Linked DNA regions of Sus scrofa. The protein of the gene in region 3 purifies or fractionates together with the protein of the main gene of each other region. This does not show direct contact. Links are inferred from orthologs where the notes say so. Each region holds a gene or a part of one and is shown on either strand. Other genes may lie near its edges.

Region 1 (8,060 bases), on a different chromosome or scaffold from region 3:
CCCCGAACATTTTTCTCTGTAGTGATCCATTAGGAAATAGCCTTACTCTACATCTACTCTACCAGGCCAGGAAATTGAGAGTAATTGACAGATACCTTCCTCCACTGCTCTCATGTGCCCTTTATGTCTTCGTGTACCAAATTCTGACAGTTTTATTTGCCTTTAAGATATTTTTATTTTTTTTAATTTTTAAAATTTATTTATTTTTTTGCCTTTTCTAGTGCCACTTCCCACTGCATATGGAGGTTCCCAGGATAGGGGTCTAATCGGAACCGTAGCCACTGGCCTATGCCAAAGCCACAGATCTGAGATGCATCTGTAACCTACACCACAGTTCACAGCAATGCCAGATCCTTAACCCACTGAGCAAGGCCAGGGATCGAACCTGCAACCTCATGGTTCCTAGTCGGATTCGTTAACCACTGCGCCACGACACGAACTCGTAAAATATCTTTTGAATCTACTTCTCTTTCTCTACTTTTCTGCCTTTCTTGTCTATGCAGTCTCTTAAATAAATCTACCACCACCCATCCCTCGTTAAAGTCTTTTAGTGATTTTATTTTAATCACATCTGTTAGGCGTTTATCCTTGACTTTGAAGACTTTGCATGTTCTGGCCCATATGAGTCTCTTCAGACTCATTTTTCCTTATGCTTTTTCTTACTCTCTAGGTGTCAGCTTGAATGCATACTTTAATTTTCATACATTTGGCATCCTTCTTTGTACAGGCCTTTGTAAATGATGTTGCTTTTGCCTTGAAGCACTTCTTTCCTTTCTTCTACTGATCTTCCAGATCTCAGCTCTTGCAGTACTTAACACCAAGAAAGCCTATCATGGTCTTTCCCTAACTAGGTCCAATCCATTATACTTCTGTGTAGTACTTTTCATAGATGTAACTTTACTGTTTTTGTGTTTGATAACTCTTCTCAGTTGGACTGTAAGCTTAGGGAGGGTAGATACTGTATCTTTTACTTAGCTTTCTGTAGCTCCAGTGCCTAGTATATTGCCTAACACATAGTTAGGTGCTAAATAAGTGTTTATTGAATGAATAAATGGTAATTGTTAGCTCTTTTTGAACTAACTTATTTAAGATACTTAAAGTTTATTACAAATAGGGAGTTCCCTTTGAGGTGCAGTGGAAACGAAGCTGACTGGGAACTATGAGGTTGCGGGTTTGATCCCTGGCCTCGCCTAGTCAGTTAAGGATCTGGCGTTGCCATGAGCTGTGGTGTAGGCTGACAGCTGTAGCTCCTATTAGACCCCTAACCTGGGAACCTTCATATGCTGTGGGTGCAGCCCTAAAAAGCAAAAAAAAAAAAAAAAAAAAAGAAGAAGAATATTACAAATAGTTTTTTGGCTCCTATCATTCTGTTATAAGTATCTGTTGGAATTTAATGTTTTTAGGTGGTGATGAGGGTTTCCCCCCCACCACCACAGTATTTTGTAGAATGTTGAATCTTATTCAAGTCAGGCATCCTTAGATAGTCCAAGATTATAATTCATATTCTGTTTTTAGATAAAGCTCTAAAGGAAATTGTTGAGCGTGTTTTCCAGTCAAACTACTTTGACAGCACCCACAACCACCAGAATGGGCTCTGTGAGGAAGAAGAGGCAGCCTCAGCACCGACGGTTGAAGACCAGGTAGCTGAAGCTGGTGAGTACTCAGATGGATGTGAGCTTTAGTTTAGGGTCCTGTTTTTATTTTCCTTTACTACAAGTTCAAGCTGTACATTTCTTTAGTTGTGTATGTACACTTAGATTTTTAAAGAAACTTTAAGCATGATCACTTATTAAGATAAAGCAAATTAAGAGTAATTCCCTGAGGTATTAAATATCAGTTGTTTATCTTACTGATCTTGATCACAATTACAAACTGATGTTTTCTCTTGCTGCAGTATTGCTGGGTTGGAGTATGGATGAGAGGCAACTGTTATAAGGCTTTTCAAATAGATTTTTGACTGATGTGCCTAGATTTATTGCCGTTTACCATGCCAGTATATGACATGAATGGTGTGAGGTTTTGTTCTTTTTTTTTTTTTTTAATGATGGAGGATTATAATTCCATGATCTTGAACTATAAATTCCTCAGTTGCCAGAGTTCTGTTCTAGCACCCAGCACATCACTAATATGTAGGTAAGCACTTATTATGAGTATTTCTATGATAACTTAAGTTGCTGAGTAAAATTTTGAGTACTATTGAAATTATTGGTGGGGTATACATTTTGTAATGGGTTAAAAGCATGGATTCTAGAATCAGACTGCCTGGATAAAATCTTGGCTACAACACTTTGTGTAACTTTGGGCGAGTTACCAAACTTCTCCATACCTTAGGTTCTCCACTTAGGAAGTTATATGTAATACATGTATATGGTGCCTGGCACATGGTAAGGCATGGTAGTAGTGTTAGCTATTAGGTTGAAACTAGAAGAGAAGATTGCACATTGATGGAATTTATGGTGGCAGAGCAACATAGGACAGTTGTTGTCCCCCCACCCCTTATCACTTTCATTTTACCAAGTAGATTAAAATGGAGAATTGGATGCTGTTTTATTGGCATTTATACTTGATCTGGAATAACTCCTATTAAAATAAAGTAATTTATTTTGGAATAAATGGAAAACTTTCTAAATATATTGTAAGAATAATAAAATATAGAAATTGACTGTTGACTATAACTAAATAAATTCAAACTGTGATGGTGAATTGTTTTGGAGATTGAATTAATTGTTAACTTTAAGAAAAGATAACTCACACTGTTTTGTCTCGTTTTTTTTTTTAACCTCTTAGAACCTGAGCCAGCAGAAGAATACACTGAACAAAGTGAAGTCGAATCAACAGAGGTATGATTTTTATTTAATGCTGTCTTTTCCTTTCTGCCTTTCAAACAGAGGTCTCAAATATTTATTTTGTTTTGCAGTATGTAAATAGACAATTTATGGCAGAAACACAGTTCAGCAGTGGTGAAAAGGAGCAGGTAGATGAGTGGACAGTCGAAACAGTTGAGGTAAGAGTTCTCTGTTACAAGGTTGATGTCTTTTGTCTTTAATAGTAATTTTTATTTCCTAATTAACAGATTTAGATTAAGTATTTTGTATTGTTAGTACATTTATTATAATAACAAACTCAGATTGTTCTGTTTCAAAGATGGTTTGCTTATTATCTCTGTGGATATTTAATATAATCACTGCTTTGCTGATCCAGTTATATGAAGTTATACAGATATTGGAGTTCTTGTTGTGGCTCAGTGAAAACGAATCTGACTAGTATCCATGAGGACGCAGGTTCAATCCCTGGCCTTGCTCAGTGGGTTAAGGATCCTGTGTTGCCTCAGATCTTGCATTGTTGTTGCTGTGGCTGTGGTGTAGGCCAGGAGCTATAGCTCCGTTTTGACCCTTAGCCTGGGGACTTCCATATGCCGCGAGTGTGGCTCTAAAGAGACAAAAAAAAAAAAAAAAAAAAAAAAAAGGAAATTATACAAATATCTGTGTGTAATTTAGGGGGTTAATCTGTCTATCAAAGTATATGATTTTTTATCAGGTTGCTCTATAAAAATCTGAGTTTCCACTTGGATAGCCTTCAGAAAGACCTACCTTACAGAGTGATACATTGGAGTGTCATTTTAGATTCCTCCTCCATCCTAGTGCTGTTGATTACCAGTCTCTGTTATCTCAGTATTGCTTATAAAGGAGATAAGGTTATGTCTTGCCCAGGCTCAACTGGTATGACTTGCTCAGGCTTAAAAGCCAGAAAAGGAATATAAATTTGAGGCAATTAAAAATTAGTGCGATTTCTCAGCAGAGCAGGGAGTTATTAAAAACAATAATCAGGAGAAATTATTAGAACTAGGAAAATGATAGGTGGAATGAGCTTTGGCTTTTGTGGCAGTCTAGATGAAATGATTGAGCTTGATGCTGTGGTATCTGCAGAGAGAATGAAATGATGGGAGCTCAAGCTTCATGATAATAATAGTCAACATTTCTTGAATGTTCAGCATATGTCAGGTAGTGGAATAGATTTATGTTTGATATAGATATGTAGCCTTACTTAATGTAAAGGCTTAACAGTTTTAAGTAAAATCCATGATTTTAGGAAGTAAGCACAGATAGTTTGTTGAAAGCAGTTTACGGGGTAAATCTGAAAGTCTACATGGTGACCCTGTGGAATTGGGAACATTGTAGAAGTGGCATTGATCAGAACATTAAAGTTAGCATCATTTGGTCAGGTTGACTGCATTTGAGTCTGCTATTCTGTTTACACTATAGATGGCCTATGTAATTTGGGGACTGGTCATGATGACGGACCTCTGTCACTGTTCCAATCCATTCCCCTTTAGGTGGTAAATTCACTCCAGCAGCAACCTCAGGCTGCATCTCCTTCAGTACCAGAGCCTCACTCTTTGACTCCAGTGGCTCAAGCAGATCCTCTCGTGAGAAGACAACGAGTACAGGACCTTATGGCGCAAATGCAGGGGCCCTATAATTTCATACAGGTAGGTGTGGTTTAGTCAAACACTATAACAGAAGGTTTAAGCGTTTACATTTTTAGTCAAACACTATAACAGAAGGTTTAAGCGTTTACATATTTAATTCCATTGTATCCTAACTTGTAGGATTCAATGTTGGATTTTGAAAACCAGACACTTGATCCTGCCATTGTATCTGCACAGCCTATGAATCCAGCCCAAAATATGGACATACCCCAACTGGTTTGCCCTCCAGGTTAGTAATGATACTTTTTGTTTGTTTGTTTTTTGGTCACACACTCAGCATATGGAAGTTAGCCACCAGGGATGGAATCTGAGCCATAGCTGTGACCTATACTGCAGCTGTGCAGTGCTGGTTTCTTAACCCACTGCCGCTGGGCTGGGGATCAAACCCACACCTCCACAGTGACCCAAGCTGCTGCAGTCTGATCCTTAACTTATTGCACCGTAGCAGGAACTCTAGTGATGGTACATTTTCATTTGAGAAATAAAGGATAAAGCCAAAGCTTTCAGGTTTTTGTGAACTTTGTGAAAATTAATTTTTTTCTCTTTAATGCTTGCTTAATATTTAGATCTTGTATCTTTTAATTTTATAGGAAATATTACTTTTTTTTCTGTAATATGAACACTAAATGTAGTTCCATCATGTTAACTTTACTGGCAAATAGACATACATAAAAGTACATGCAGGAGTTTACACTGTGGCACAATGGTATTGGTGGTGTCTTGGGAGTACTGGGATGCAGGCTCAATCCCTGGCCCAGCATAGTGGGTTAAAGATCCGGCATTGCCATAGCTGCAGCTTAGGTTGCAACTTTGGCTTGAATCTGATCCTTGGCCTGGGAACTCTATATGCTGCAGGGTGGCCACAAAAAAAAAAAAGTACATGCAGATTTACAATTCGGTGAGTTTTCACAAACTTGAACACACCAGCACCCAGGAAGTGGAACATTATCAGTACCCCAGAAGCCTACTTGTCCTCCCTCTCTCTTTGCCCCTTATTTTTTTTTTTTTTTTTTTGTCTTTTTGCTATTTCTTGGGCTGCTCCCGCAGCATATGGAGGTTCCCAGGCTAGGGGTTGAATCGGAGCTGTAGCCACCGGCCTACGCCAGAGCCATAGCAACACAGGATCCAAGCCGCATCTGCAACCCCTTGCTCACGGCAACGCCGGATCGTTAACCCACTGAGCAAGGGCAGGGACCGAACCCGCAACCTCATGGTTCCTAGTCAGATTCGTTAACCACTGCGCCACGATGGGAACTCCTCTTTGCCCCTTATTAACCACTTCCTGACTTACAGAACTATGGACCTGTTTTTCCTATTTCAAAATTAATCTAGGAATAAAAATAAGTGTCTTTTTTGAAGGATGATTGCAGCTTTTTAGAATTTCTGAACATTTTATTACTTAAATAAAAATATGAGATGCAGTAGCGAAGTGATTTAGGGAATGCTTAAGAGGAAAGGAGAAAAGATAGACTGAAGACAGCTGAAGTTTCAAACTACTGTTTTTACACCAGTTTTTGAAACATCAACATACTAAATAGGGTAGGTGCGTGGTGTTGTGTTCAGTGGAGCATCTCTTTTGAGTTTAGTAATTTTGAGTTTTGTTTTTTCCTAGAACAGGCCAGCATTAAGGACATAAAAGTGGAACCATATAAAGTAGCACATTTAATATTGTTAATCTTAAATGTCATGAAAGGAGTTGCTGGTAAAAACATGTTTAATGAACACAATTAATATGGTAACGTAGTTAGGATTTCTCTACTTTAGAGAAATGGAGCTTATATCTCTCCACCAAGAGTTAGAAAACAGGAGTTCCCGTCGTGGCGCAGTGGTTAACGAATCCGACTAGGAACCATGAAGTTGCGGGTTCGGTCCCTGCCCTTGCTCAGTGGGTTAATGATCCGGCGTTGCCGTGAGCTGTGGTGTAGGTTGCAGACGTGGCTCGGATCCCGCGTTGCTGTGTCTCTGGCGTAGGCCGGTGGCTACAGCTCCGATTCGACCCCTAGCCTGGGACCCTCCATATGCCGCAGGAGCGGCCCAAGAAATAGCAACAACAACAACAACAACAAAAAGACAGAAAGACAAAAAAAAAAAAAAAAAGTTAGAAAACAGAGCCAGGGAATCAGAGTTACTAGTGTTCACTTTTTGAGCTCTATCAGAGGGAGAAAACAAATAGTTTTAGCTGTGCCAGTCCACAAATGCAGCACTTACATAACCTGTAAAGCTATTTAGATATTCCGGTAATGCTGAGTTCATTAGACACTCCAATGAAAATAACTGTTTCCAAATGACTAACCAAAGATACTATATGTTTTTTTCTTTTTTTTTTAAGATACTTTTTTTTTTTTTTTTTTTTTTTTTGGTCTCTTTAGGGCGGCATACAGAGGTTCCCAGGCTTGGGGTCCAATTGGAACTGTAGCCGCCAGCCTGTGCCACAGCTACAGCAACACCAAATCCGAGCGGAGTCTGTGACCTACACCACAGCTCATGGCAACACCGGATCCTTAACCCAGTGAGCGAGGCCATGGATTGAACCCACGTCCTCATGGATGCTAGTCAGGTTCATTAACCACTGAACTGTGAACTCCTAAGATACTTTGTTTTAATTATCTGTCTAAAAGTGATTTGGGAAGGGATTGAAAGGATGATGGGAGCTGGCAATAATATGTATACTAAATTGTATGTAGGCTTTTAAAGGTGTGTTTTTATTTATTTATTCCTTGTGGAAACATTAGAATTTTTTTCCCCCCCTTTTTGGCCACGTGTTCAGCATGCGGAAGTTCCTGACCAGGGATCAAATCTGTGCCACAGTAGTGACAAGGCAGGCCACTAGGGAAGTCCTGGAAAAATTTGAAACTGTATTGAAAGTTAATAATGTTAAAATGTCACTAGATGGAGTTCCTGTCGTGGCGCAGTGGTTAACGAATCCGACTAGGAACCATGAGGTTGCGGGTTTGATCCCTGCCCTTGCTCAGTGGGTTAACGATCCAGTGTTGCCGTGAGCTGTGGTGTAGGTTGCAGACGCGGCTCGGATCCCGCGTTGCTGTGGCTCTGGCGTAGGCCAGTGGCTACAGCTCCGATTCGACCCCTAGCCTGGGAACCTTCATATGCCGAGGGCGCGGCCCAAGAAATAGCAACAACAACAACAACGAAAAGACAAAAGACAAAAAAAAAAAAAAATGTCACTAGATACTATCTACCTAAAGTCTTGTGTAAGAGCAATGCCACTTAATAGTTGCTGCTTTAAAAGACTCTGGATAACACTGGCATTGATTCTTATTATTCTGCTCTATACTTCATTTTTAGTACTGTCTTGATAATACCTTATGTTGCTTGACTAAAGTGAAAGCCATTCTGACAGTTGACTAATAATGACTGGCAATGAGTTGAAAATGCTCACTTGAAAACCAAAATCTTACCTATATTTTCCCGTTTATTTTCATGATTACTAAAAAAGTTTTTTGACTATGGAAATTTGACTTTAGCAACCAAGTAAAAGGTATTTATACATCTCTGAAGAACTTTTTTTATGACAATTTTTTTGGTCAATTTTGCAGTTCATTCTGAATCTAGA
Region 2 (7,275 bases), on a different chromosome or scaffold from region 3:
CTGCATGAGCCCTGTGCCGAGAGGGCCGGTGTGGGATTGTACATCTTTCCAGACAGCACATGTGGACTTGTGTTGATTTGTCGTGTGTCCCTCCCTCTCCAGGCAATAAAGAGGACGAGTTTAGGATGCCTTATCTTAGTCATCAGCAGCTGCCTGCTGGAATTCTTCCCATGGTGCCTGAGGTTGCCCAGGCCGTAGGGGTCAGTCAAGGACATCACACCAAAGACTTCACAAGGGTGGCTCCAAATCCTGCCAAGGCCACGGTAACTGCCATGATAGCCCGTGAATTGTTGTATGGGGGCACCTCGCCTACAGCCGAGACCATTTTAAAGAATAACATCTCTTCAGGCCACGTACCCCATGGACCCCTCACGAGACCGTCCGAGCAGCTGGACTATCTCTCCAGAGTCCAGGGATTCCAGGTAACTGTGAGGCCTGAGTTGTGTCCTGTACCTCAGTGCAGTCATCTCTGCTTCCTCGCAGATCTGAGTACCTCGTTTGTGGTTTTGTTGTTGTTGTTAGGGCCGCACCCACGGCATTTGGAAGTTCCTAGGCTAGGAGTCAAATTGGATCTACATCTGTCGGCCTACACCACAGTGACAGCAAGGTGGGATCCAAGCCGCATCTGTGACCCACACCACAGCTCACGGCAATGCAGGATCCTTAACCCACTGAGCAAGGCCAGGGATCGAATCCACAACCTCGTGGATGTTAGTCGGGTTTCTTTCCTCTGAGTCACGATGGGAACTCCACCGCCTTTTTTTTTTTTTTTTTAAATCAAAATCTTTGTCCAGGGGGATGGTTGGGGACGGTTGGTCAAGGGTGGTCCTGAGGTCAGGGAGGGGGGTGGTGCTGCTGTGGAAGGTAGTGGAAGCCTGGATGGTAAGAGAATCCTCAACCTTTGGTAGTAACATTTTAACAATCCAGACCAACCATATTAACAAAGCCTCTAATTCGGTGGTAGTTACACATTTAGACTTCAGTGAGCACAGACTCCTTGTGCTGGCCCTTTCTGCCTGGTAGGAAGGACATGGCTTCTTCCAGAGGAAGGTTTTTAAGTAGAATCTAGGTTCCTAGAAGATTCTGCAAACTGGGGCCCTGGTAACCTGCCTTCAGCCCAGGTGCCTCTTGGCCCCTCCGACAGTCTCTAGTGCCTGTTGAGCCGGAGTTGGTGTAGCCAGGTCACTCCAGGGAGAGAGGAGTCTTGTCTGCTGGGCCCAGAGCCGAGGCCCTGTCCCGTTCCCCGCTTCCCTAGCCTTGCCTTGGTTTTCTTTTCCCCTTTAGGTTGAATACAAAGACTTCCCCAAAAACAACAAGAACGAATTTGTATCTCTTATCAACTGCTCCTCTCAGCCGCCCCTGATCAGCCATGGTATTGGAAAGGATGTGGAGTCCTGCCACGACATGGTACGTTTCCCGCACGGTGCGCTGGCTCAGGCAAGGCCCTCTTCTAGACTCTGACAGTGGCTGGTCTCACAGATTCCTTACGTCGGAAGCCTTTTTTCTTCGGTTACTGCCTTAACTTCTCACTCTTTATCAGAACTCTCCTCCCTTCCCTTGCTGACCTGGCAGGGAGACTTGGATCCTGGACCCTCTCCAGATGCTGTATTCAGTTCATTTCTTATTGAAACAAGGAGTAGCAGGGCCAAGTGTTGGCACCTTAAAAAGCCCCTTGTTTTGGTGTTCTGTTCAGATGAAATTATTGTTGTAAGAAATATTACAAACCAAGGAAAGGAACTGATTAATTTACACAGACTGGCATATTCACCTGGTGGAGTATAATGCATCCATCACATTAATGTCACTGAAAGTAATGCATTCTAACAAGGAACCATGGTAGGCTTTTTTATTTTTTTAAATTTATTCTTTGACCACGTCCATGGCATGTAGAAATGCCTGGGCCAGGGATAGAACCCCATCACGGCAGTGACCCAAGTCACTGCACTGACAGTGCCAGATCCTTAACCTGCTGAGCTGCAAGGGAACTCTATGATAGACTGTAATTTAATTTTTGTCTTTTGTCTTTTTAGGGCCGCACCCACAGCTATGGAGGTTCCCAGGCTAGGGGTCTAATTGGAGCTACAGCTGCTGGCCTGCAGCATGGCCAGATCTGAGCCATGTCTGTGACCTACACCACAGCTCCCAGCAACTCTGGATCCTTAACCCACTGAGCAAGGCCAGGGATTGAATCCAAAACCTCATGGTTCCTAGTCGGACTCGTTTCTGCTGTGCCATGACAGGAATTCCACAACCTCTGTTATTTTATAGCAGGATATGAACTTTGTACAGGCTGGTGACCACAAGATTAAAAATACTAGAAGGCAGTACGTATACAACTAAGAGGTTGTGGTTCAGTGAGATAACCATGCGCAACTTTTTCTTTTTGGCCACACCCGTGGCGTGTTGAAGTTCCCAGGCCAGGGGCTGAACCTGAGCCACAGCTGTTCTCTGCACAGTTCTCTCCACTGCGCAGAGAGAACACCAGATCCTTAACCCGCTGCACCAGTGGCTCCTGGATAATTTTTTTTTTTTTTTTACATTTTTGGTTAAGAAGTTAAACATGAGAAAGTGTTATTTAGTGAGAACACCAGTTTTGTGGGGCAGTAGGAGAATCCTTCGCCTCCTCATTCAGCATCTTTTGACCGTGGTCCTGAACAGTGCCGTGTTTTAACTTTTCTCTCCATTCCTGCTAGGCTGCACTGAACATTTTAAAGTTGCTGTCTGAGTTGGACCAACAAAATACAGAGATGCCAAGAACAGGAAATGGACCAATGTCTGTGTGAGTCAGCCGATTATATGAAAAGCAGTTCTGTTCCTCCTTTGCATTAAATTCAAATCGTGTGCTCACTGGTGAAACACTCATCTCAGTCACTCTGTCATTCCTCTGAAAGCCTTCCTTAAGCAGAGAGCTCTTTTTCTCCAATTTTGAGTAACATTCGCATGGCTCAGATTTATTTTAAAAAGGTGTACCCAGTGCTAAATCTTGCCCTCATGCAGTCCTCATCTATATCATTCTCTCCACCCAGAGATAACATTTTTATTGTTTCTTGTGTTCCCTTCCCATGTTTCTTTGTGCAAATATATTTCTTTCCTTATCTTCTCCCCCCCCCCGAGATAATGTCCGATAGACATATTATGTAAACACGCACACACTCACTCTCTTCTTTGCTATTTCCACTTGTAGTGTATTGGGGAAAACTTTAATCCAGTTATCATAAACTGGGGCCTGGGCTATTAGACTTGTGTCTGCTAATTTTATTTTTAATATGGCTTACTTTTCTTAAATTTCAAAACTTGGGTCATTTCTATTTTTTTCCTTTTCCTTAAAGGTGTGGGAGGTGCTGAACCTTATGGCCACATGAACCGTTGAAAAATCCCAACATATATACTGAAAATATTGAAACTGCTTTGAAAATTTGGAATTTCTGATACCTCCAGTGGGCCGAGAGACATGATGGTTAAAGGACTGGAGACAGCAGTGGTGACCAAGGCGGCAACAGGAGTAGCTGCTGCTGGGGGCGGGGCGGGGCGGGCCTGCCAGGCAGCCCTGGCGCCACTGGGAAACCAGCAGGTCCGTACCCCAGGCACCTCAGTGCTTGGTTTTAGTAGTTTTTTTTGGTTTTGGGGTTCTTTTTTTTCCTTGCTGTGTGAAAGAAGCAGAAAGCACGACTCCTCAACTGGCTCACTCAAACACTTTGGGACAAATCCTGGACACCCACACTGGAGCGAGGCCTTAGTCTGAAAGCACCAGAGAAAATCAGATGCTTCCTCCTCAGCGCAAGTTGACCTTCTTGGCGTGCTCTGGCCCACCACCTCCCGCGGTACCCACACCGTTGCCACTGCTCTCTTCCAAAAGAGATATGTATTCTTAGTTTCATTACTTTCTTTTGATTGAAATGACACTATATAAATTTTCATTTGAGAGTTTCTCAATTGTATCTAGTTACATAGCACAGTTTAGAAACTTGTCTGAGACTGACTTTATCAGTAACATAACCGGCAAAGATCATATCCATGTGTATGTGGTTATACGTTTTTACTTCATTGGACCTGCCCAGGACCATTTCAGTGATGCAAATTGTGTGGCCTCTGGTTTAGCTGAAACAGTCCTGGACTTCTCAGAACCCTTGGTGAAGTCTCCCACAGTTGTATAAATTGAACAGTTTAGGAATTTTAAACTTTAAACGATCATCTGGTTCCTTTTCTATTTTATTTTTGTTTATGCAGCAGGACAAACAAATGAACTCTGATCTTTGTTTCAAAGACTATTAAAAATTGTGTGTATGTACATGACTCTTGAGGACACAGAGCTTTCACTACACTACAGGATATGATCTCATGTAGCACATATACAACTGCAGATTGATCTTCCTTGAGTGCTTTACACTGTTGATTACATCTCCATGTAGGGCTGAAAAGAATGACCCATGTTTATCTCTAACTGTGTTGCTTTGGATGTTGTGTTGCTGTGCACAGACACGTGTGCAGCGAGGTCCTGCATATGGTCCAGATGAAGAGCACGGTAGCCTTGCGAGTTAAGTACTGCTTCCATTTTTTCTCCCCATGGAATGTAAGTAAAACTTAAGTGTTTGTCACCAATAAATGGTAATACTAAATTTTTTTTGTTAATTTATTCTCCAATGCCACTACTGCCAGGTTGGTCCCTCCCAACCTGTCCCCTTTTGTTATTTTTAAGAAAAAACTTTGTAATGCTTGTGATTCCATTTGGGCAAAACTCTGAAGCTCTGAAATAACTTTATATCAAACCATTGATCAATAAACAGCTACTAATGAATTTCAGTCCTGTTGAGCAGTAACTAACGCAGTAAGGGAAGATGTGAGTGAGGGCACGGAAGCATGGTGTGGGGGGCACCGCTGCCAGGGAGAGACGTGTGGGCACCAAGGTGAAGGGAGGCGCCTCTCCTGTGCACCTGACATTGTCACCTGAAGAAATGACCAATAGGAGGAGAGGGGCTTCCCGGTCACTTCCTCAGACGCCTTCGCTGTCAGAGTAAAGGTGCAGTATTTCCTTCTGGCCAGGCTGTGGAGTGAGCTAGTGGCTGTGTTTTAATTTTAGAAGATGCTCATTAAGGTGGTCCATTTTATAAAACCAGCCTACAAACTGGACTGCGAGAATAACTGGAAGTGATCAGAAGGTTATGGAAAATGCTGAAGCGGTAGAAGGGGACACAACTTGGCAGGGGCGAAAGCAGTGAAAGGAAATTAGAGATGTTCCCTTTCCAGTCCTGGATTCAGCATTTCTCCAAGGAGCCCTGATGCTCTTTAGTGACAGATCACGTTTAGAAACCAAGATCTGAGAGCCACCGCCTCTGGGGTGTTGTTAGGAAATGCATCTGTGTATGTCTCTTGACTTGTTTCTCTATGTAAAGCCATGCCTTTGAACTGATACCTCTGGCACTCAGGTTCTTCACAGCCTTCGCTCTGTGTCTTTAGCACCTTCTCCAATATGGAGGTCATAGCCCATCCCCCAGCCGTGCCAGCCACTTCCTCCACTTTAACACCTGCCCCTCCTGCCCCAATCCAGTCTCCCCTCCTTGCCTCAGAGTGTGTCCAGCCAGTGACGCTCCACACTGGAGGGAAGATGGGAAGGGCAGGACAGTACAGTCTTAGAAGTAATCACAGCTTCTAGCTGGCGGTTTCTTGTTGGCCCTCAACTGACAGCACTCCAGAAAGGGAGAATTTAGTGTCTGTGATATTAAGAAGGATCTCCAGGTTTCTTTGACAAAGGTTTTTGGAAGGTGATCCATCTCTGGTTGCTTTGCAGAAATGTCCGGATGGGCTTGTCCTTGCATGCTCCTTCCCTGTAAACTCAAACCAGCCTTGCCTCTGGGAAGGCCGTGTTGCTGCCATCGCCTGCTGAGGACTCACTCAACCTGCAGTAGCTCTGTCTCTGGGGGTTTTGAGAGAACTGAGAATTGAGTGATTGCACTAAGTTTTATCCCCACATGATCTCTAAGAGTTGCAAGAACTTTGACTCAGAACTGAACTAGATACTTCAGCCCATGGGACAATAGAGGCTTGTCCTGGTTCTAGACGACAGGCAGAAAAAGGCAGTGAGACACCTGATGAGGCAGGTGTGAGATATTGCACGTCAGCCACAATCAGAATGAAACAGACTGGTGGGCCTCTGGATGTGTGGATCCTTGGTCCTCAGAGATGAAGCCGCTTGCTCCTGGGTTCTTAGAGTAGACAGACTTGGGACTTGATTGTCCCAACAGCTGCACTGACATTAGGTCATGATTTTGTAAAAGTTCCTCTTATCACAGGGAGATTTTAATGAGTAAAGATGATTTCCCCATAGCTGGATTTTGTTTTGGTTTATTGTTTTTAAAGGATTTCTTGAGCCAGAAGAATGTGGACTGTAGCTCTTGGGAAAGTGTCATTTCTGAGTCTAGGTTTCCTTCCACAGCCCACTGAGCTAATGTGTGTGTGGCTTTGCAGCAGCGTTGGCCCGGATCCCAAGGTCTGTTCGAGATTGAAGGGAGTCTGGGATTGGTGTGAGCATTGGGAAGAGAAGCCTGGCCCTTGCCAAAAATCAGTAAACTGCCCCTGCTGCTGCTCTGGAGGCTCATGTGAGCTCAGGGCAACATGACCACCAGGAAACTTAAGCTAGGAAACCTCCATCACTAGCATCTCTGATTTAAGTGCCTAATGTCTGTGTGCCCTTAGAAAACAAGTTAATGGATTTGTCAAGCACCTAAGCATTGCTGGATTGGCAGGGAGGATTTAGCCAATTTTCTTAAAATAGGCTTAAGAGGCAAAGCTAACGAAGACAGGAGGAGGAGCAGACTGTTAGAGGCGTGCCGGCAGTGCAGAATGCAAAAGGGAAAACTCGCCCGGACCCTAATGATAGTTTATCTTCCTGTCTGATTGGCTACTGCGTACTTGCAATGGTGTGTTTAATGTATATATAGAATAACATACAAAACTAAATTTTTTTTCCCTGTCTTTTAGGCCTGCACCTGGGAGTTCCCAGGCTAGGGGTTGAATCAGAATCCCAGCCTAAACCACAGCAGTGCCAGATCCAAGCCACGTCTGTGACCTACACCACAGATCATAGCAATGCCAGATCCTTAATGCACTGAACGGGGCCAGGGATCGAACCTGCATCTTTATGGATACTAGTCAAGTTTTTACCACTGAGCCATAACAGGAACCCCCAAAACTCCCAATTTTTAAAGCTGTATTATAGTTGGGTTTTTTAGTAATTTAAATGCATCCCAATTTTTATTAGCAAAAATTATATATGTATAT
Region 3 (8,694 bases):
TGTGACAAAGATACTATGTTTCAGAAATTAATAAAAAATAGCAAATGTACATCTTTCATAAAAATCTCAGGAAAATCTCAACTCATTCAATTCAGGAAAAAGAACTCTGCCTGACTGATTCAAATTCTTTTAAAAACAGATTATTGAAACAAAAATAACTACAGAAAGTACTTCATCATCTTTTAAGGATTTAAAATTAAAAAAACACCAACTAAGCCAGCTGTGCACTTAGAATTTTTTAGGCTCAATATCATGAAAATTATTTGTTCCATTAAGGTAAAATAACTAAGATATCACATACTACTTTAGGGCCTAAAATTAATTCCACAAAATCAGAACATGTGCTCACATGACAAGTCCCACAAATGAAGATCAAACAGAATACGAAGTAAAAATGAAACCAACAAATCAAGTCAACAAAAGCAAATAAAAACATAATATATACTTCAACTGAATACAAGCTACTTAAATGAACTAATTAATTTTTAAGAAATTTACCACGTTAGGAGTTCCCGTCATGGCACAGCGGAAACAAATCCAACTAGGAACCAAGAGGTTGCGGGTTCAATCCCTGGCCTCACTCAGTGGGTTAAGGATCTGGCGTTGCTGTGAGCTGTCGTGTAGGGCGGCAGCTGAAGCTCTGATTAGACCCCTGGCCTGGGAACCTCCATATGCCACAAGTATGGCTCTAAAAAGCAAGAAAAGAAAAAAAAAAAAAAAAAAAAAAGAAATTTACCAAATTAACTTACCTACTTCTAAATTAATGCCTACCAATATCTTAGAATTAGATTTAATTATTCTATTAATCTATACATGTTTATTAATCTATTTCATGTTAAGGAAATGGATACTACACCAAAGCAGCAAAATTTTGAAGGGTTTATTAAATCAAGTGGAAAAATCATGAATCCATTCTAATATAGCTTAAGGAGTTCTGAAAGTTTTTTTAAGATTTAAATTATAAATGTTAAATTTTTTTTTGTTTTAATAAAGGGGTGTGTTGGCAAATACAATTCAGTCCCTTACAATTGAAAGGAAAAAAAACAAAAACAAAAAAAAAATTTTTTCCTGGACGAGAGGCTAGAATCTAACGTAATATAACTTAGACATAGCACTCTTCTTTTCTAATGTAAATAGAGATACACTCCGCGCCCCCCCAAAGGCTATAAAGAAACCTACAGATTTGCATGAGTGTCCAACTGTAGGAACTGAACGCCCAGGCCTACTACTTTATTTATATGGCTGTCTGACCTTGGGTGACGTACTCTAGACCTCTATTTACTAATCTTAAAAAGGAATAATAATAGTAAACATTCTCACAGGGTGCTTGTGAAGATTAGAGATGAGAGTAAATATTAAGTGCTTTGCACAATACCTGGCACTATACTAAATTAAAGGTGTGCTAATAAGAATTAACTGCTGTAACTTTTGACTATCAGCTAATTTAAAATAAACATAGCCAACTCTCTGAAATCAAGTACCAAGATTCCAAATGCAAATCCAATAGGAAATCAAGCATGTCAAAAGAAAATCCAGAAGTCACTTACTGGATCTTCAGATGGGTAGAAAAAGACAATCAGTACTTGGCAAATTAATTTTCTTCATTAACACAGAATTCTGATTTGTAATCTGAGGTAATTACTCAATATTTCCTGAATATCTATCTAGTCAAAGAAAAATACAAAAAACAAAACCAGGTACGGCAAGGCCAGTATTCTATTTTGTAGCTGATTATCTGTAATAACACCCAGGAAGACAGTCGAATAATTACTAGCTACTTCTGAAAAATCTCAAAAGTTTCACCATTTAGAGCATATTGAGAGTTGTAAAGACAATTTTATGTGCACTAACCATTTCAAATGTAAATTTTCTAGTGGAATGAAGTTTGACTGAAAATGCAGGGAAAAGAACTGGACACCCTTTAAGTGTGCCTATTAACTTCAGAATTTAGCTAATTGTAGACTATATACAATAAACATACTAGGTAGCCAGTGTCTTACTTCCAATGTTTTTGAAAGCTCTGAAATGGGCAAGATGACAAACAGACAAAAAGCAGAATACTAGAACAATCAGTAAAGGTGAACACTACAGTCATAAGTTGGTACAGGCTTCAATTAAACTGTATGAACCACTTACAGACTGAAAGCTCAGGCAGTGTATTTTTTTGATGTTTTCTCTTTTTTAAAAAAACAATGATACTTTATAATGCCATACTACTTTGTGCCTTTCCAAATTTCTTCCCTAAAATATTTTTGCTAAATAAAATTTTAATCTTTTAAAAAAGAATATTTTTTTGGTTATTTTAAGAAGCCTTTTAAATGACCACATATATTGGTAAAGCCAACTTAATCTGTATTTCACACACCCAAACCCCAAATACCACCTCTGTAGATGATGAATGGAGATCTGGCGTTTAAAGTGGGTGTCACTGACATTTAATACATTTTTTTTGTATATTTAATCCATAATTTCTGATTGACTCATTTTTAAAAGTATAAAAAAGATAAGCAATTGGCAATGTAACAAGGATACAATCCAATGTGTTCACAGATTGGTTACCTGTGAGACTGGTGCTTTAACATGGGGTGGAATTCCAGAGGAAGAAACAGTACCACTAGGAGGCAGGTTTTTACTGGTCACTGAAGCCCAGGAGAAAGCCTGCAGGAAATGCAACAAACCTAGACTACTAATCACGGAAAACCACCAACATTCCTATAGGGAAACTTCCAAATATATATTTTCTTTTCATTTCTAAACTATTGCTTTATATTGGAGGACTCCTAAAAGAAAGGCACACACACACATGCCAGTCTATGTGCCAGCTTTCAAAATCTCATTATGCAAGAAAATTATTTGACTGTTTTGTCTGAACTACTAAATAAATCCACAAGCAAGTTCCTATATGCTCTAAGTAGATGAGCAGGTTCAAACAAAACCACTAACAACTACATATGCTAGAAAAATAAAAACCTATTAGAACTAATTTCCTTCCCCTTCTGGGGACGACAGGGTGTTGTGACGGTGTTAAGGGGAGAAGGGAAGGATAGATAGGAAAGAAGAGAGTACCAGCTGGAAATTTTAACAGACATTCACAAATTGAACAAGGAATCTCCTTCTCTCACTACCCAAATATACTTTAACCTTCTACTTTACAGAAAGATAAAAGAGGTTTTAAGGTAGGTTTAAACAATACCCTACGGGTGTCACTCATCTTTCCAAGAGTTTCATTGGTGTAGTAAGGAAGCTGTTCCCATTTAAACCAGAAATAACATATATCACTCCTTTCAATAATAAGCCAACTTGTTTTAGTTGGGATATTGCATGACTCCTACTGCATCCGTGCATAGAGGGCTGAATACGGAATGGAAGAGCAACTCTCAGCTTTACATGGACTCGAACAACTTCAATTAAGATACTAAACATTGCATACAGACAAGGATTCATCTTAAATTTTACTCTTAGAGGTGTTTTTCAGGGGATAAAAATACAATTTCCTCGGAATTAAAAAAAAAAAAGCCATAGCTTCTTTCATATACATAAAAAAGAATAGTTTACTAGTAAACAATTTACCACCACAGAACAAAGGTCATGCTTCATTAATGGCACAAAAGATGAAAGTGCGATGCTATAGGTCTAAAGAGCTCCTGTGATCTAACCTTTGGTGGTTCCTGTGGCAGAGACACAGGTTCAGCAGGAGGAGGAGAAGTAGACTTCTCCTCTAATTCTTCTAAGTTTTTCTCCTCCACTTGTGGTTTCAGCTCTTCAGTCTTTGTTTCAGATTCTGGCTCAGGTTCAGGTTCATGAGAGGATTCTTCCAAAGGCTCCTCTATGCCATTACTACAATAAAATATTTTATTCACTTTTCAATATGAGTGAAATGACCCATTCAAATAAAAGAAAATATAGCATTTCTCTAACAGGCATAACTAATAACAAGCTGTTCTGAAGCAAAAATTTAAAACTAGAAGGCAGAGGAAGTAATACTCTCAAACAGAATTTCTTTTTTCTGGCCGCAGGCATGGTGTGCAGAAATTCCCCAGGGCCAGGGATCAAACTCATGCCATAGCAGTGACCAGAGAAGCCACAGCATGAACAACCCCAGGATCCTTAACCTATTAGGTCACCAACGTACACCTCAAGTGGCATTTCTTTAACATCTGTTTCTTTAAATCCATTTAAAAACAGGATTACTAAAAATGTTTATCACTTTAGCACTAGTTATAAATAAACCCCATATTTAAAAAATAAAATGCTGGAGTTCCCGTCGTGGCGCAGTGGTTAACGAACCCGACTAGGAACCATGAGGTTGCGGGTTCGGTCCCTGCCCTTGCTCAGTGGGATAACGATCCGGCGTTGCCGTGAGCTGTGGTGTAGGTCGCAGACGCGGCTCGGATCCCGTTGCTGTGGCTCTGGCGTAGGCCGGTGGCTACAGCTCCGATTCAACCCCTAGCCTGGGAACCTCCATGTGCCGCGGGAGCGGCCCAAGAAATAGCAACAACAACAACAAAAAAAAGACAAAAGACAAAAAGACAAAAGACAAAAAAAATAAAAAAAATAAAAAAAATAAAATGCTGTTTTGTCCCAGACACTATACATTAGTAGTAAGTGATCAGTTTTGGACCAAAACATGTTCAATTTTTGAATTAAATAAAACAACATTTTCCAAATTTCTTGCATATACACAGTAAATACTCAAATGCTGGCTTGTTATTGATAGTGTCAGCAAAAATTTACTTCCAACAATTCCAGGTACAAAAACCACCTTGCAAATACATTATAGTTTAGAACAGATTTGGCCTTGCAAACACTATTCTTACGTCACAGGGTGAGCTTCATAGTAACCACTGTTAGTTTCCTGCACAGGTTCTGGAGTTGGTTGCCTTTCTTCTTGTTCCTCTTCTACTTCATCCTCTGATTCTGACAATATATAAAATACACCACATCTCTTTTTAAGAGGCTTAATACACAATTTGATAGGTGTATTTTAAATGTGTAAAGATGTCATATGATAGTGAACTCCATGGAATTGACTCTATTTTTTAAAAACACCTATTAGTAAGAAAAGGGTAGTAAAAATGATATATAAAGTCATAACTCAGTTTCCTTCATCACCATCTATTCAATGGAGCAATAATAATAAAGAAAAGGAAGCAAACTGGTATGTATCAATGGAAGATCAATTAAATAACTGATCTTAAATATTAAATATGGATTAAAAAAAATCAACAGCCAACAAAGATACAGATATATTAAAGGAAAAAAAGAAAAGAAAACAAAAAAGCAAGCTTTGAGCTAGCATACTTCCACTTTTATAAAAGTAATGATCAGTGTAAGATATAACCAAATTCTGTGATAGGCACTAAATGCTTGGTTGCCTTTAGAAGATGAGATTGAGGAAGTTTTTTTCATTTTCTATGTCTGACTTATAATCATAAAAATTTCATAAAATGAATATCTATAACAAGAATCGGGAACAGGAAAGGAGAAAAGGGAGTTAGCCTCAGTTATAACAGAGGCAAATTTATTTGTTTCATACTTTGCAGGTCCTTAAAGAATATCCATACTGACAGAACCCTTGTATCTTAAAAGTAACCTCACCTTCATCAAGTTCTGGTTCAGAATCACCAAATACTTCATCTTCATAACGAAACATATCATTGTGAACATAAAACTTATTTGGAACAGATCCCTGTAGGAAAATAACATCCAAATATTCCATTAATACCCATAAATGTAGCATTAAATTAAGAAGAATAAAAACAATTTCTATTTTAACAGTACAGAAATAATCTTTCAAAGTTGAATGTGCTATGATGTTAATACAAAGCAAATCACAGTAGATTACTCAAAACACTGAAGCTCAAGAAATGTCTACTAAACATAAAAGAACCAGGACTAATTTACATATGGGATGTTCCCATTTTGTTTATAATATGTAATCTATTAAATATAATAATATGCTTTTAATATTATCTCTGTAGTCTTAATCATCTATTATCAGGACCTCACTTTTACTGAGAAATCAAAGCACACACATAAAGCTCAAGTAAAGTAATCAACAGATCCAATACAGATTTCTCAAAAACAGCTACATGCAGGGAGTTCCCGTCATGGCTCAGTGGTTAATGAACCCGACTAGCATCCTTGAGGACGCAGGTTTGATCCCCGGCCTCGATCAGTGGGTTAAGGATCCAGCATTGCGGTGAGCTGTGGTGCAGCTCTCAGATGCAGATCAGATCTGGCATGGCTGTGGCTGTGGCATAGGCTGATGGCTACAGCTCCAATTCAACCCCTAGCCTGGGAACCTCCATATTCCATAGGTGTAGCCCTAAAAAGACAAAAGACAAAAAAATAAAAATAAATAAAAATAGCTACATGCATATCTGTGCCTGTAAGAAGAAACTCTGGACACTTCAAGAAACTATTAATAGCAAAATAAAATCACATAAATGAGGACTTCCCATTGTGCTCCAGAAGAAACGAATCTGACTAGGAACCACGAGGTTGAGGGTTTGATCCTTGACCTTGCTCAGTGGGTTAAGGATCCAGCGTTGCTGTGAGCTGTGGTATAGGTCGCAGACAAGGCTTGGATCTGGCATTGCTGTGGTTCTGTCGTAGGCCAGTAGCTACAGTTGTGATTAGATCCTTAGCCTGGGAACCTCCATATGCCGAGGGTGGGGCCGTAAAAGGACAAAAAAATAAAAATAAAAAAATAAAAAAAATAAAATAAAATAAAAAAATCACATAAATGAAAAATTAATAGAAGTGAAAACTTACTTCAGGAGCCAAAACAAAGGTCTGCATAAACTTCCTCTCTGGCTGTCCGCTATTAGACAGCAAACCCATGACCTGGACAACTACTCCATCACTCAAGGTTGCATGAGCATCCACATGACGAATTTTAGTATGACATTCACTGAAGTTCAGAGACAATACTTTGTGGTGTATATCCTTTATTAGAAAAAGAAAGTAGGGAGGAAATACAAACTTGTGATACTGCATTACCCATTCGATACTACAAACTTGCACTGATTTCCTCACAACTCTAGAATATTGACTACTGAACCTCTCTGCCTTATTTGAATCCATTACACCATGTTATGCATTACTGCCAGACCAAAGTTCCTAAATCCACTAGTTTCAACATGTCACCTCTCTATAGAAGAAATCACAATGCCTGTCTCATATTACAGGCTTTATACCGCTTTCTCCCACTGTTCTGTATTAAGTATTCAGTCATTCACACGAACTGTGTGGACTACTCCTTGACCTCATACCTAATTTTACATTACTGCTTGTCAGCTGGTGTCATTTCTTCTACTTGCAACTTACTCTTGCTTGGCAAGTTCAAATGCTATGACTCAAGAGTCTCACTGAAGTTCCACATCCTCTACAAAATCGTAAGGTGTATATAATACTGTGCATTACTTTAACATAAACTTTATGGGAATCTGGGGTTTACAGATGCAAACTATTGCATTTGAAGTGGATAAGCAACGAGATCTTGCTGTATAGCACAGGGAACAATATTTAGTCACTTGTGATGGAACATGATGGAGGACAATGTGAGAAAAGCAATGTGTATATATATGTGTGTGTGTGTGTCTGACTGGGTCACTTTGCTGTTCAGTAGGAAATTGACAGAACACTGTAAACCAACTATAATGGAAAAAGTTAAAATCATTAAAAAAAAAAAAAAGCTTTCTACAGTGTCTCAACTGTTTCATACTTAAAACACACCAAGGATATAAAAAAAGTCCCACTCTCCTTTGTATCCAACCCAAATGTAATACTATGCTTCATACAAAATGGGTGTTTATAAGAACTCAACGCACACTGGACAATTACTGTAACAAATTCTAACAAATTCTAGTGCAGCTAATTGATCACATTCAAGAAAAAAATCCATGGGCACAAGAAGGCTACTTTCCAAATCTCTATCTTAAAATTCAAAAAATAAAATAATCTAAATGTATATGAAATTGATACTTACATTTTGTCCATAAACAGCCTCCTGGGGCTTTCCACTAGCATCTACTCCACCATGAACATAGGAAGAATTCCTACCATAAAACCTGTAAAACCATTGATTAAAAAAAAAATTAAGATGCAGTAGAGTTCTGGTGTCAAGCAAACCTAGTTTCTAGGTAACTTCTCCATGAGGTTGTACAGATTAAATGACTAATGATGCAGAATTCTTCATGTGCCTAGCATGCTAAATGTATATACTCAATCATTAGCTATTCTCATCTAATTCTTACCACATCTATACTTTGATAAGTGGAGAAATGAAATGTTCAAAACATATTCTAAATACTGACATTGTAGTAATTTACCCATTTTTTCCCGTCAGATACAAAAACTCAGTTATCTAGATCTGCCTGGGAATCAGCCACTGTTTAGCACTCTACTCAAGAGTTTGAAATGATTACTAATTCAAAGGCTTAGTTAAAAGTTTAGATTAAAATTAACTGAAATACTGGAGTTCCCTTTGTAGCTCATCAGTTAACGAACCCAACTAGCATCCATGAGGATTCAGGTTCGATCCCTAGCCTCGCTCAGTGGGCTAAGGATCTGGCATTGCCGTGAGCTGTGGTGTAGGTTGCAGACACAGCTCTGATCCTGCGTTGCTATGGCTCTGGTGTAGGCTGGCGTCTACAGCTCCATTCAACCCCTAGCCTGGGAACCTCTATA

The links. The genes of interacting proteins can lie anywhere in the genome.
Region 1: the proteins of G3BP2 (region 3) and CAPRIN1 purify together in Homo sapiens (affinity purification with mass spectrometry; 5 studies listed by BioGRID and IntAct, with this or other methods). This does not show direct contact. The link is inferred for Sus scrofa from reciprocal best matches to the Homo sapiens genes G3BP2 and CAPRIN1.
Region 2: the proteins of G3BP2 (region 3) and STAU1 purify together in Homo sapiens (affinity purification with mass spectrometry; 3 studies listed by BioGRID and IntAct, with this or other methods). This does not show direct contact. The link is inferred for Sus scrofa from reciprocal best matches to the Homo sapiens genes G3BP2 and STAU1.

Annotation. Positions count from the first base shown.
Region 1 is NC_010444.4:26,842,451-26,850,510, reverse strand, and holds part of CAPRIN1 (caprin-1), read left to right. Parts: intron 1-1,515; coding exon 1,516-1,653; intron 1,654-2,787; coding exon 2,788-2,840; intron 2,841-2,917; coding exon 2,918-3,004; intron 3,005-4,333; coding exon 4,334-4,489; intron 4,490-4,609; coding exon 4,610-4,718; intron 4,719-8,043; coding exon 8,044-8,060. UniProt on the Homo sapiens protein: mRNA-binding protein that acts as a regulator of mRNAs transport, translation and/or stability, and which is involved in neurogenesis, synaptic plasticity in neurons and cell proliferation and migration in multiple cell types.
Region 2 is NC_010459.5:50,802,484-50,809,758, reverse strand, and holds the end of STAU1 (double-stranded RNA-binding protein Staufen homolog 1), read left to right. Parts: intron 1-102; coding exon 103-422; exon of another isoform or gene 423-1,284; coding exon 1,285-1,407; exon of another isoform or gene 1,408-2,693; coding exon 2,694-2,779; intron 2,780-3,329; coding exon of another isoform or gene 3,330-3,345; exon of another isoform or gene 3,346-3,643; coding exon 3,644-3,737; 3' UTR 3,738-4,800; downstream 4,801-7,275. UniProt on the Homo sapiens protein: Binds double-stranded RNA (regardless of the sequence) and tubulin.
Region 3 is NC_010450.4:71,280,617-71,289,310, forward strand, and holds part of G3BP2 (ras GTPase-activating protein-binding protein 2), read right to left. Parts: intron 8,076-8,694; coding exon 7,994-8,075; intron 6,952-7,993; coding exon 6,778-6,951; intron 5,690-6,777; coding exon 5,599-5,689; intron 4,918-5,598; coding exon 4,818-4,917; intron 3,838-4,817; coding exon 3,657-3,837; intron 2,659-3,656; coding exon 2,560-2,658; intron 1-2,559.